3 linked regions of the Macaca fascicularis genome follow. The protein of the gene in region 1 interacts with the protein of each later gene in a pairwise test. Links are inferred from orthologs where the notes say so. Each region holds a gene or a part of one and is shown in the gene's direction. Other genes may lie near its edges.

Evidence for each region.
Region 2: the proteins of LDLRAP1 (region 1) and MAPK8IP3 interact in binary tests that used the Homo sapiens proteins (3 or more experiments, as listed by UniProt). The two-hybrid records come from large-scale screens. The link is inferred for Macaca fascicularis from reciprocal best matches to the Homo sapiens genes LDLRAP1 and MAPK8IP3.
Region 3: the proteins of LDLRAP1 (region 1) and PSD4 interact in binary tests that used the Homo sapiens proteins (3 or more experiments, as listed by UniProt). The two-hybrid records come from large-scale screens. The link is inferred for Macaca fascicularis from reciprocal best matches to the Homo sapiens genes LDLRAP1 and PSD4.

Annotation. Positions count from the first base shown.
Region 1 is NC_088375.1:209,615,507-209,619,832, reverse strand, and holds the start of LDLRAP1 (low density lipoprotein receptor adapter protein 1), read left to right. Parts: upstream 1-1,519; 5' UTR 1,520-1,632; coding exon 1,633-1,720; exon of another isoform or gene 1,721-2,268; intron 2,269-4,146; exon of another isoform or gene 4,147-4,326. UniProt on the Homo sapiens protein: Adapter protein (clathrin-associated sorting protein (CLASP)) required for efficient endocytosis of the LDL receptor (LDLR) in polarized cells such as hepatocytes and lymphocytes, but not in non-polarized cells (fibroblasts).
Region 2 is NC_088394.1:2,471,316-2,475,514, forward strand, and holds the start of MAPK8IP3 (C-Jun-amino-terminal kinase-interacting protein 3), read left to right. Parts: upstream 1-1,372; 5' UTR 1,373-1,534; coding exon 1,535-1,852; intron 1,853-4,199.
Region 3 is NC_088387.1:20,210,454-20,213,819, forward strand, and holds the end of PSD4 (PH and SEC7 domain-containing protein 4), read left to right. Parts: intron 1-1,081; coding exon 1,082-1,339; 3' UTR 1,340-2,849; downstream 2,850-3,366. UniProt on the Homo sapiens protein: Guanine nucleotide exchange factor for ARF6 and ARL14/ARF7. Through ARL14 activation, controls the movement of MHC class II-containing vesicles along the actin cytoskeleton in dendritic cells. Involved in membrane recycling.

The DNA of each region.
Region 1 (4,326 bases):
ACACAGAGAAGACTGCTGGCTTCTGAGCTGGGAGTAATTACAGAGGCTGAAGTTGGCCTTGCCTGCGGCACCCTCTTCTAAAAGAAGCCAGGCTGTGGCTTGGATGTGTGTGTCCTCCCTCTGGCTACTTTTGGCACAGTTTGAAAGGAAGGCACGGCATCCTAGAGAGTTAGAATAAATCCTTCCAATCCTGGAGTTAGAACATCTGTGCCTGAGCAGTTCTGGGGTTCAGACTGCCCTCCGAATGCTCCTAGGAAGCAGCATGGGGTCAGGGTCAAGGTCATGCAGATTCTTGACCCTGGCAGGTTGGAAGGATCACTAGAGATAGCATTGACTCTCATTCACAGAAAAACAAGACTCAGAGAGGGGAAGGACTTGCCTGAGGTCACACAGCAAGTCAGTGTCAGGGGCACATTCCAGATCATACCATTTCTGAGGCTACCTGGGAAGTTGCAGGGGCATGGGGTGGCCCAGCATGCTCAGGTGGTGCCAGGGAGCTACGTGGATGAGTAAAGTAAGGGCAAACTTTTATATACCGACCCTGCGCCTAACAAGGGTCTATACTGCAAGCTTGTCCAACCTGTGGCCCACTGGCCATGTGAGGTCCAGGACGGCTTCGAATGGGGCCCCACACAAATTCGTAAAGGTTCTTAAAACATTATGAGACTTTTTGGGCCGGGTGCGGTGGCTTACAGCCATCCAGCACTTTCGGAGGCTGAGGCAGGCAGATCACTTGAGGTCAGGAGTTCGAGATCAGCCTGGCCAACATGATAAAACTCCATCTCTATTAATAATACAAAAATTAGCCGGGCATGGTGGTGCATGCCTGTAATCCCAGCTACTCGGGAGGCTGAGGCACGAGAACAGCTTGAACCCGGAAGGTAGAGGTTGCAGTGACCCGAGATCGCACCACTGCACTCCAGCCTGGGCGACAGAGTAAAACTGTGTCTCAGGAAAAAAAAACAAAAAAACAAAAAAAACTCATGAGTTTTTTTTTTCTTTTGAGAGATATATGTGTGTGTATATATATATATATATATATATTTTTTTTTTTAGCTCATGGGCTGTTGTTAGTGTATTTTATGTGTGGCCCAAGACACTTCTTCCAATGTGGCCTAAGGAAGCCAAAAGTCTGGATATCCCTGATTTACAGCCTCCACTCTTTCCTAAGTCTCCCACTGCCCTGGACATCGCATTGTTCTTGTCCCTGAACAAGACCTTTCACCATTGGAGGAGCCCTCAGTCTCCCCATCTGTAAAATGGTCACTGGAAATCTAGGCCACTGCTCTCAGACCCGCAGGCTCCTACGGGGTGGGGATTGGGGAGAAGGAGGAAAGCGGGGGCGTCTGGGGCTTGCGATTCGCTATCTTCTGGCGCCTTCGGGCGGCCTCAGAAGCTCTTGGGGCCTGGACCCTGGGCCTGGACAGGGACCAGGCGGGGCGAGATCGGCGGTCGGGGGCGGGGCCCGCCTGGGGGCGTGGCCTGTCCTTCCTTGCCCCGCCCCGTCGGACGCCGCGGCGGAGCTCGCGCCGGGAGGGGAGGAGCGCGCAGCCCGCGCGCTGCAGGGCCGGGCGGAAAGTTTTTCCTGACGGAGTTTTGGTGGCGGCAGCGGTGGCGGCGCCGGAGCGGGCCATGGACGCGCTCAAGTCCGCGGGGCGGGCGCTGATCCGGAGCCCCAGCCTGGCCAAGCAGAGCTGGGGGGGCGGCGGCCGGCACCGCAGTGAGTGTGCGCGCGTCAGCCGGGCCGGGCCGGGGTCGGCGCGCGGGGCCTCCGCCGGCGCCCGGAGTGCGGCCAAGTTGGGCAGAGGCGGGGCCTGACCGGCGCTCAGGTCCCGGCGTGGCCCTTTCCCGGCCCTGCGGGGCAGGGGGTCGGCCGGGGTCAAGTTGCGCACCTACTCCCCGGCCGCTCGGTGCCGCTGCGAGGAGGGGCAGCGCTGAGGAAGGAGCCCGAGCTCGAGGTCCCCAGGTGCAGCCGGCATGGGGTGGGGTGCAGGTTGGGAGAAGAGGCCCCCGCCACCCGCGGCACCTCCCGCCCTGCTGTCCTGGCCAGCTAGGGGGAGGCAGGCCCTGGTCGTCGGTGCCTGAGGGAGGAGGAAAGGGCGCAGGAGCTTGGAAAGACGCCCCCGTCCCGCACCCCTGCGCCCCAGCCAGCGGCTGCGGCGGGCGGGAGCCCACTGGCCCGTTCTCCCGCCCCCTGTCCGACCCACCGGGCCAACTTTTGACTCCGGGTGTCCAGACACCCACCCAGGTGTGAGCCCGGGGTCGCAGGTACGTACTTGAAATTGGGAGAGAGGCCCCGCCTGGGGTGCCTCGGGAGAGCCCTACATGAGGCGGTCTAGACCCCTGCGTCCCTTCCTCTAGTCGGGTCCAGGTGACGAGCCTGGCGTCCCAACTATTTTTGAAACCTGTTTCCTCTCGCACCTTTCCCTTCGGGCTTCTAAAGTCCCTTGGGCGCCCAGGCCAACGGCAGACTCGCTGTCACCTCTCCCTGGAGCGTCTGGGAGGCTGGGAGGGGCCTCCCTGTGGCTTCTTTCTCTCCCTGTCTCTGGTTACGCTCAAGGAACTTGTCTCCTGGCACCTTCCCCTGAAGCCAGAAGACCAGCCCAGCGCAGGTCGCAGGTCTCGTTGTTTGGGAGGGAGAAGAGAGTGGCTTGCCTGGGGTCACACAGACCTTCCTGCCGGTTTTGGAGCCAGAACCCAGGACTGCTGCACACTCCCACCTCCCTGCCAGCCACTTCGGGCCACAGCCTCTCCCCTCATCAGGAAACAACTGACAGTACAGCACCCCCTCACCCCATTCCCTCTTGGCCTTACAGGGCTCCACCAGGGGAGCCCGAGCTCCCTGGTCCCAGGAATGCCAGCGTGTCTGGGCCTAGAGGGCCCGCCTTGCTCCTCCTCTGGCCCCACTCTGTTGTTCAGCTGTGGCCGCCTCCCAACTGAGACTGGCACTGGCATTGGGAATGTGGGGTGGTGCCTGCTGGTGGGGGGTGGTGTCAGAGACCCATTAGGGCTGGGCCAGTGGGCCAGGGGATGCACCGTTTATCACACTGATTGCCTCCCAAAATAGACCCTTTAAAAACTGGCAAGATTTGACCAGAACTTCTGAGAATGGCCATCTGTTCCAGCGGGAGAATCCTGCGGTTTTCTCCAGGAATGAGGGCGGGAGTGTGGCAGGGCAGCCCCCGGGGAAGTGGTTTTGAAGGAAGGGGGGCTGGCAAGAGAAGGGAGGCTAGAAAGAAACATCTCTGAATCTGGGGACGCAGAAGAGGTAGCCACTTTGGATGGTGGAAGAGAATTTCTTTTTTTTTTTTTTTTTTTGAGACGGAGTCTCACGCTGTTGCCCAGGCTGGAGTGCAGTGGCGCGATCTCGGCTCACTGCAAGCTCCGCCTCCTGGGTTCACGCCATTCTCCTGCCTCAGCCTCCTGAGTAGCTAGGACTACAGGCGCCCGCCACCGCACCTGGCTAATTTTTTGTATTTTTCGTAGAGACGGGGTTTCACTGTGGTCTCGATCTCCTGACCTTGTGATCCGCCCGCCTGGGCCTCCCAAAGTGCTGGGATTACAGGCTTGAGCCACCGCGCCCGGCCGAGAATTTCTCTTGCCATCTTCAATCTTGGGCAAGTCACTTGTCCTTTCTGATGCTTGGTTTCCTCATCTGCAACATGGGGATAAAAACTCTTACCTGGCAGGAGTATCAAGGAGATTATTGGTAATAATGCTCCCTCCTAACTGGTGGCTTTCTTCTGCCCTGCTCCTCTTCCCCCTGCCTATCCTTGGGACGCCGCCAGCATGATTAGTACTGTGGTGAGATGGGTTTTGGGGGCCCAGAGCTCGTCTGCACCTTTGGAGGAAAGGAGAGGAGCACCTCTCTCCCTCCTCCAGGCCCCAGTAAGCCCAGAGTGCTGTCCTGGAGCCTCTGGACCTGAAGGAGGGCGGGCCGAGCCCCACCTGTCCCTCGTGATGAGGTCTCAATTTCCTCACCTGTAAATTGCAAATAACAGTAGTACCTGCCTCCAACTGTTTGTGGGGATCAAATGAAATTGCGTTTGCCTGGCATAGAGGAAGACTTTGGTAAATGGTAACTACTTTTTTTGTAACTGTTTTACAACGTGTTTTTGCTTCCATTCTCTCATTGACTCCTGTGAGGTGACAGAGCAGGCCCATTTTAGAGACAAAGGAACTGAGATTCTGAGCATTGGAGTCATTGGCCCCAGACACAGAACGTCTAAGAGGCAGAGCTCCACATTCCTAGCGCAGAGGTCTTGGTGGATTCTGCCATGGGAGGAGCTGGGAGCAGTCCTCACCCACCCCAGGTTGGGCTGGCAG
Region 2 (4,199 bases), on another chromosome or scaffold:
GGGGAAAGGGGAGCCTGAGCCAAGAGTCAACCAGGATGACACGCAGAATCAGACCTGCAAAGGCTGCAGATACTGTAGTTATGAGGCATACACACAAAGCTTAAAGATAAATACGTGGTTGGAAGTATAAGAGCCTATCAAAACTGCTAGAATATAAGAAATCAAATAGGACAAAAATAGAATAATTGGCTGGGTGCAGTGGCTCACGCCTGTAATCCCAGCACTCTGGGAGGCCAAGGGAGACGGGTGGATGACTTGAGGTCAGCAGTTCGAGACCAGCCTGGCCAACATGGTGAAACCCTGTCTCTACTAAAAATAAAAAAAAATTAAAAAAAAAAGATTCAGGCGTTAATGGCGCATCGGTAGTCCCAGCTACTCAGGAGGCTGAGGCACGAGAATCGCTTGGACCCAGGAGGCGAAGGTTACAGTGAGCCGAGATCGTCGCACTCCAGCCTGGGCGACAAGAGCGAAACACCGTCTCAAAAAAAAAAAAAAATCGCTGAAATTAATAACCCAATGGATGGGTTAAACAGATTGCACATAGCTGAAAGGAAACCGAAAATCTGGCCGGGCGCGGTGGCTCTCGCCTGTCATCCCAACACTCTGGGAGGTCGAGGCGGGCGGATCACTTGAGTCCAGCCTGGCCAACATGGCGAAACCCCGTCTCTAAAATACCAAATACTAAAAGTACAAAAATCCCAGCTACTCCGGAGGCTGAGGCAGGAGAATCACTTGAACCCGGAAGGCGGAGCTTGCAGTGAGCCGGGATCGCGCCACTGCACTCCAGCCTGGGGGACAGAGCGAAACTCCATCTCAAAAAAAAAAACCACGAAAATCTGAAGCAGTCACACAGTGCGTTAGGGACAAGTGGGCGAAAGGAAGGAGGCCACGCTGCTGGGTTTCAGGATGAGATGGGCGTTGAGGGTGCATTCACAGAATCCCGGGAGGAGCCAGCTGACTGCGGAAGGCACTAGGAGAGGGGAGGCACTAGGAAGGGAGGCGCTGGGCGTGGACTGAGCGGGGCGCAGTGCTGTAGGGAACGCAGGCTCATCAGGGCGGCCGGGGTGGAGGCGCAGGCGCTGAGCCTTCACCTAAAGTCGCCGGTGTGTGCAGAGCCCGGAGATGCGACCGAGGTCACCGAAAGCCCAGGGTGGCGGGGACATGCTTAAGCTACCGCGCGCTGGGGATAGCGACCACCGCCGTCCCGCGGATCCCACCATCCTGGAGAACATCTCCCTCTGCCCAACTCAGCCGCGCTTCCGGCCCGAAGCCCGGCTTCCTCTGACGTCACGGCCCCTGCGCCCCCTGGCGTCGCGGCTGCGGCTGGGCGCGCGGGCACCGCCCCCTCTGGCTGGAGGGCGGGACTTCCGGCGAATGAGTGACGGGCGCTTCCTCGGCAGCGGCGGCGGCTGAGCCCTGAGGCGACAGCAGCTGCGGGAGGCGACGGGCCGCGGCCTGCGGGACCTGAGGCAGCCGGGGAGGGCCGGGCGCGCCGGCCAGATAGCGAGCCGCGCTGGCGGCGGCGGTGGCCGCGATGATGGAGATCCAGATGGACGAGGGCGGCGGCGTGGTGGTGTACCAGGACGACTACTGCTCCGGCTCTGTGATGTCGGAGCGGGTGTCGGGCCTGGCGGGCTCCATCTACCGCGAGTTCGAGCGCCTCATCCACTGCTACGACGAGGAGGTGGTCAAGGAGCTCATGCCGCTGGTGGTGAACGTGCTGGAGAACCTAGACTCAGTGCTCAGCGAGAACCAGGAGCACGAGGTGGAGCTGGAGCTGCTGCGCGAGGACAACGAGCAGCTGCTCACCCAGTACGAGCGCGAGAAGGCGCTGCGCAGGCAGGCGGAGGAGGTGCGTGGGCCGCGGGACCCGCCCGCATCCCCGTCCCGGACCCCCAGCCAGCCCCGGGTCCGGGACCCACACCTGTCCCGACCTCAGACCTCGCCCCGGCGCCCCGGACCCCCAGACCCCGCCCCGAGACCCGCCTGGACCCCCATCCCCCTCCCCGGGACTTCCCCACCCCCTGTGCCCGCCGTGAGACACCTCCCTAGAGCACCCCCCGCCTGCCCCGGAACCCCACCCCGATCCCCGGGGACCCCCTTTTCCGCCCAGGCCTGGGCCCTGGCCCCCTCCTCCGGGCCCCCAGCCCTGAACGCTCAGCCCCAAACCCGATGTGCCTGGCATCATCCTCGGGGAGCTCAGCTTCAAAGCCAGGCCTCACTCTCCCCTCCCCACCCACCTCTGCATGCCAATTCCCTTTGCTTTCGTGCGTGTATTCAGTCAAAACCGTTTCCCGACCCCAAGTGCTACCTCTGTTGGCTGCCATTCTAAACCCACCTAGAAAAGGAATCTTTGGTGTTCTTAGGGTGCTGCAGCCGTCTGTTGATGTTGGAGACCTTGCCTTGTCCCTAAGTCCGTATTTTGAAGGTCTGTGACATGGGTGAATTGGGTGGTTGATGTAAACACAGAACAAGGCCGCAGGCGGGCTGCTCCTCTGTCAGCAGAAGGAACACTCGAGTTTCTGGAGGTGATCTCTTTGCCCCTTGGTGCCTTGCTTGGCGAGATTGTTAGCTGATGTAGCCAGGGCTGAGAAACCACTCTGGCTTCTGAGGAGTTAAAAGTCTGAGTTTGAAGCGTTTAATTCTGTACTAGGATGTCTCCATAACCTGGAAATCGCTTACTTGTGAAGCAGTTACAAGAGCCGTGCCCTGTGGGGAGCTCCACTTCGCTACATTCATTCACCATCAGATACTGAGCTCGGCCTGCCTGCGTGCGGGCCCAGAGCCTCGCCCTTTGTGGGAAACAGGTTCAGGGAGGCTGGTTCCCATCCCTACTTTGCCTCTGTGACCTTGGCCTGTCGACTGCCTGGGATTTGATTTTCCATCAAAGGAGTGAATTGCACTAGGCCGATCTCTAAGCCCAGAAATTGCCTCATTCTAGGAGTTAGGTAATGCTGTTTGACTTATGAATAGACGTGTCTTAGGAAATGAGCTTCAATTCCTTTTCAATTAATTTGGATTAACACATTCTTGACTTTAATAGGAAAATAAAAGATGGTGTCAGTATTTTGGCTTTTTCTGAAACCAAGGTGATTTATGGCCTAGTTTGGTTTAAAGCGTGTTTATAAAAATAATAACAGTATGTTGTGTCATTCCTCCTTTACTGCGGTTTCTATTGCGTTTGGGTCATGTCTGTCGGGAGGCGGTTGTGTGTTGATTGGAATGCCGCGGTTCCAGCAAAACTGAGTTAAAGTTCTCAACCTAAGGGAACGCAAGGGTTCATGGATTTTGGAGCTCAGGGTGACTGTAGGCATTTTACTGGGAAGGAAACTTGTCCCAAGAAGTGGAGGGGCTGCACCAAGGTCACCCACCCCAGAAGTGCCCAGCCAGGATGCAGAGTGAACCCGACGCTGGCCTGGGTGCTTGCTTCCATGTCAGGCAGCTGCAGGCACCGGAGGGCTGCTCCCCAGAAGCCTGGAGTGCCAGGGCTCCCCTCGCTCAGCTGTGGAACTGTGGTTGCCCCGCTCTGCTGGGCACTGCCCTCCACTTCTCTCCCACACTCAGTGGCCTGACCTAGATTTCAGGTGGGTTTCTTTTCTTTCACCTTGTACCTATGTGGTCAGTATAGTGGACAAGAAGGAACTGACAGGAGAAAATCAAGATGGACAACGTTAAGGCTAGAAATTATAACCTTGCCGCTTAAAAATGAGCTCTGCATGAGATAGGCGCTGCCCAGCTCTGTGCGGTTCACATGTAAGCTGCCGTGAGTGCATCTGCCCTCCCCCAGGGCTCCCGCTGGACTGAGCTGGCGGGTGTGCTTGCGGTTTGCAAAGCTATCGCCTTTAGTCTGAGACCCACCATTGCTCCAGCTCTTTAGAGAAGCTGCAGGGAGAGCTTCCGAGCGGAGCCCCGAAGCCAACCAATGCTTGGCCAGCATGGAGGCTGTGATTAAACGCTAATAGTGCGCCCTTGGAAAGACCTGAGGGCCTTACAACTAAGGAAAAGGGCTCGATGCTGTCAACATTTGGCATGCCTCCTCCTCTACTGAATCAAGCAGACCTTCATTTCCAGCTTTGTAGACCATTGCGCCCCGTGGGTCAGCGTCTTTTCTAGGCAGGGACTTGTGATCACATAGACGTGTGTCTGATAAGAGGGCAGCGGGACGTCACTCGCTGCAGGCATGTCTTGTTGCAGAGGAG
Region 3 (3,366 bases), on another chromosome or scaffold:
GTCTCCCAAAGTGCTGGGATTACAGGTGTGATCCACTGCCCCTGGCCAGTAATGACTTTTGTTGGCTCTACAGCCCATGTTGAAATGTTTTATCCCCTAGTCTCCCCCAACCCTCACCCATCCACCCACATTCCCCAATTCTGTTTTGGTGTCACATCACTTCATCCGGGATCCTAACACTGGGTGCCTGCTTCAGGGGTCCTGAGTGCCTGCTTAGGGTGAGGGCCCACTGGGGAGGAAGCATAGGTTAATGCAATGTGAAAATAGAGGGAATCAGAGGCCACCCAGAGGCAGAGACCCAGGAAGTGGGAATCAACATTGCCTCCTGCCTGTCCCCACGGCACCCTCATGCAGCCTTCTGCCTCTTTCAAGGCCCCAGCCTATCCCTTAGCTTGGTGGTTGTATCCATGGCTGTGAACTCCCCACTTTTCAGAGGCTTCAGGGTGTGGCTGTGAGGACCCAACCTCTTCCTCCCACTGACCAGCTAGGACATTTAGCAAGCCACCAGCCCTCCCTTCCACAATGATTTGTGCCCCTCCCAGGGCTGGCATGAGGATCCAATGGGATGGAGGGTGAGGAAGCACTTTGTAAACTGGAAACCATATCCTAAGGATGCTAGCTGCAGGGGCCTTAGTAGTACAGTGTTAAGCAGATGAGGGTGGTGAGCATCATGCTCCACAGATGCCAATTGTTAAAATGCTATTCAGACCCAATTAGGGCTGTACAGATGTGAGCTGTTTGTGTGTAGGGCTGCAAAGCTCTCAGGCATAGTGGGTGACACATCTTTTAGTGCCTCAAAGATGGAACGTGGCATAGAGATGTTAGTTACAGCACTCCAAGGGGTTGGTTATTATTAGAACAGGGCTGGGCTGATATGTGTCATTATAATACTATCCAGAGGTGTGCTCTGCAGTCTGCTTGCCCAAGCATTATACTGACACTCACTGTTGGTCCAGCCCTCTTTCTGCAGAGGTCTGTATCACCTTAGCTTCAAGTACCTGAGAGCTGTCCCTCACGATTCCAGCCTCCTCCCGGCCTGGAGCCAGGATGGTGCTAAGGTGGTGGGGACTGTGTGTTGCAGAAAACCCGCTACGAGACCTACGTGGAGCTGCTGGTGGCCCGCCTGCACTGCCCCTCCAATGCTCTGGACCTGTGGGAGGAGCAGCTGGGGAGGGAAGCTGGAGGCACTCAGGAGCCCAAGCTCAGCCTGAAGAAGTCCCACTCAAGCCCGTCCCTGCACCAGGATGAGGCTCCCACCACAGCCAAGGTGAAGCGCAACATCTCAGAGCGCAGAACCTACCGGAAGATCATCCCCAAGCGGAACCGCAATCAGCTGTGAAGCCAGCACCACCTCGGAGACACTGGCCCCTGCTCCACGGTACACTTGAGATGGACCTCCCTGGAGGAGACTGATTTCAATGAGTCCACCATGATGGATGAGGCACCTCCTTTCCCTGCTGAAGGACAAACCTCATTTCCCTGTGGCCCTTATTCTCATGCTCACTGAAGCTTTCCTAATACTGCTGTGCTGCCCCCCACCCCCATGGCAGTCCCTCCAGAGCCCCAGTCCCTGGCCATGCCCAAGGGAAGAGGGAGGTTGAGGACTTGACTTTCCTCCCGGAGCTCATCCCATGTCACCCTGCAGGCCCCAGAATCCAGACTGGCCTCATTTCCTAGACCTGCTGGGAACTCAGCACTTGTTTGAGAACCAGTGCATACGTGGTGTGGCCTTGGCTTCTGGGGGAGAGCTTGGGGCAGCAGAGGCCCCTGGGCAACCCAGCCAGGGGAGCCACAGTCCTGAGGATGGTCTTGCTCTGGGAATTAGCTGACGTTCCTGGGGAGGCCCCAGGAGAGTGAATCAGGGACTCTTGAGAGATTCCCAACCAGCCTCCTGTGACCCAGGGAGCAGAGTCGCTAAGGTCCTGCCCACTGAAGGGACAGCCTTCTGGGCAGAGACCTTGGGGGGCTTCAAGGGCTCCGCATGGCTGTGGGGCCCCGTGCCTTTGTCTCCTTTCCCCCTACAGTCGTCCTTTCCCCTGAAGCAGATGAAACAGTCTCACATACCCAACTGCCCATCAACAGAGCAGGGCTGGTGGCATGAGTGAGGGCTGGGCGGGGTGGGGCCTCCAGAGCTTTGCAGCGAACCCTGGAACCCTGGGAACAAGAAGCCTTTGTTCCAACAGAGCAGGGAAGGAGGTTCTCTAGGTTCAGACCACTGGACAGGATAGAGCAGTAAAAGGTGGTGACAGTTTCCCTTAGGGGTCTGCCTGGCAGGAGCCACGGCTCAGGAGAGTTGTGGGGGATGGGATGGAGGCTGGAGACCAGGTGAGGCCCAGGCCAGGCTTGGGAGACTCTTCTGTGCTCCTTCCTACACATGCCTTAAAGCTTCCTTCCTGTGGGGTGCCTGGACCCCTTCCCCATCTCTGGCAGCTCAGAGGGTCTCTGCTGCTCTCCCCTGGGAAATCTCCTCGTCCTGCCCTCTGGCTGCCTCCCAGCTGGACTTGTTCTCTGAGGGAGGTTCCGGAGACTCATGGACTTGGGGCTCTGCCTGTAGGAAGGAGGCTGGGCCGGAGGGAGCAGCCACCATTGTCTCTGTTCAGCCAAGTGTGCAAGTAGGCTGCCCGCCAAGAGGGGCACTGCTACCCACTGCTGCCTGCCGGCTGACGCACTGCCTCCCCGGCCTTCCTGCTGGGCCACCCTCCTCCCTTCCCATGCTTGTTGTAATCAGCTCTGGGGCCTGGACCTCCACAAAGGAAGGCTGGCCCTTGGAGGCCATGTTTGGGTCTCCGGCCAGGTCCTGGGGCTAGGCCATGCACCCAATGGGTGCACAATAAATACAGGTCAACAAAGACGGAGGTGTGTCAGTGTGTGAAGAAGGGAGGTCAGGCAGCTAGGACCACCTGCAGTGTGGCAGGCTTCATCCCTCTTTGCTTCAAGTGTGTATGTGTGTCTGTGCGTGTGTGTATTGTCTGTGTCTGTGTGTTCATGCACATGCAGGAGTCACACGGTCGTAGGCTGTCAAAGCTGGAGGAGACCTCAGAATCATCCATCCACCTACTTGCTCATTTGTTCGTTCATTCATTTTGCAAATAATATGGGACGCTTTCTATGTGCCAGTACTAGGGGATTCACAAATGAATTAAACATGTCCCTGACTTCATGAGTTGACAGTCTTGCCCCCTGGTTTCCTGCTCTCAGTTTACAGATGCACTTTTATCCTGCTGGGGAAGCGTGCTGAAAAGACACATTCCCAGCCCACACCCAGGGATGCTGATGCAGTCAGCCTGGGTCAGGGGGATAGATAAATATGTTGGGTAACTCTGATGTGTAAGTAGCAGTTAGCTGCAGCACAGTCCAATTGCCTCA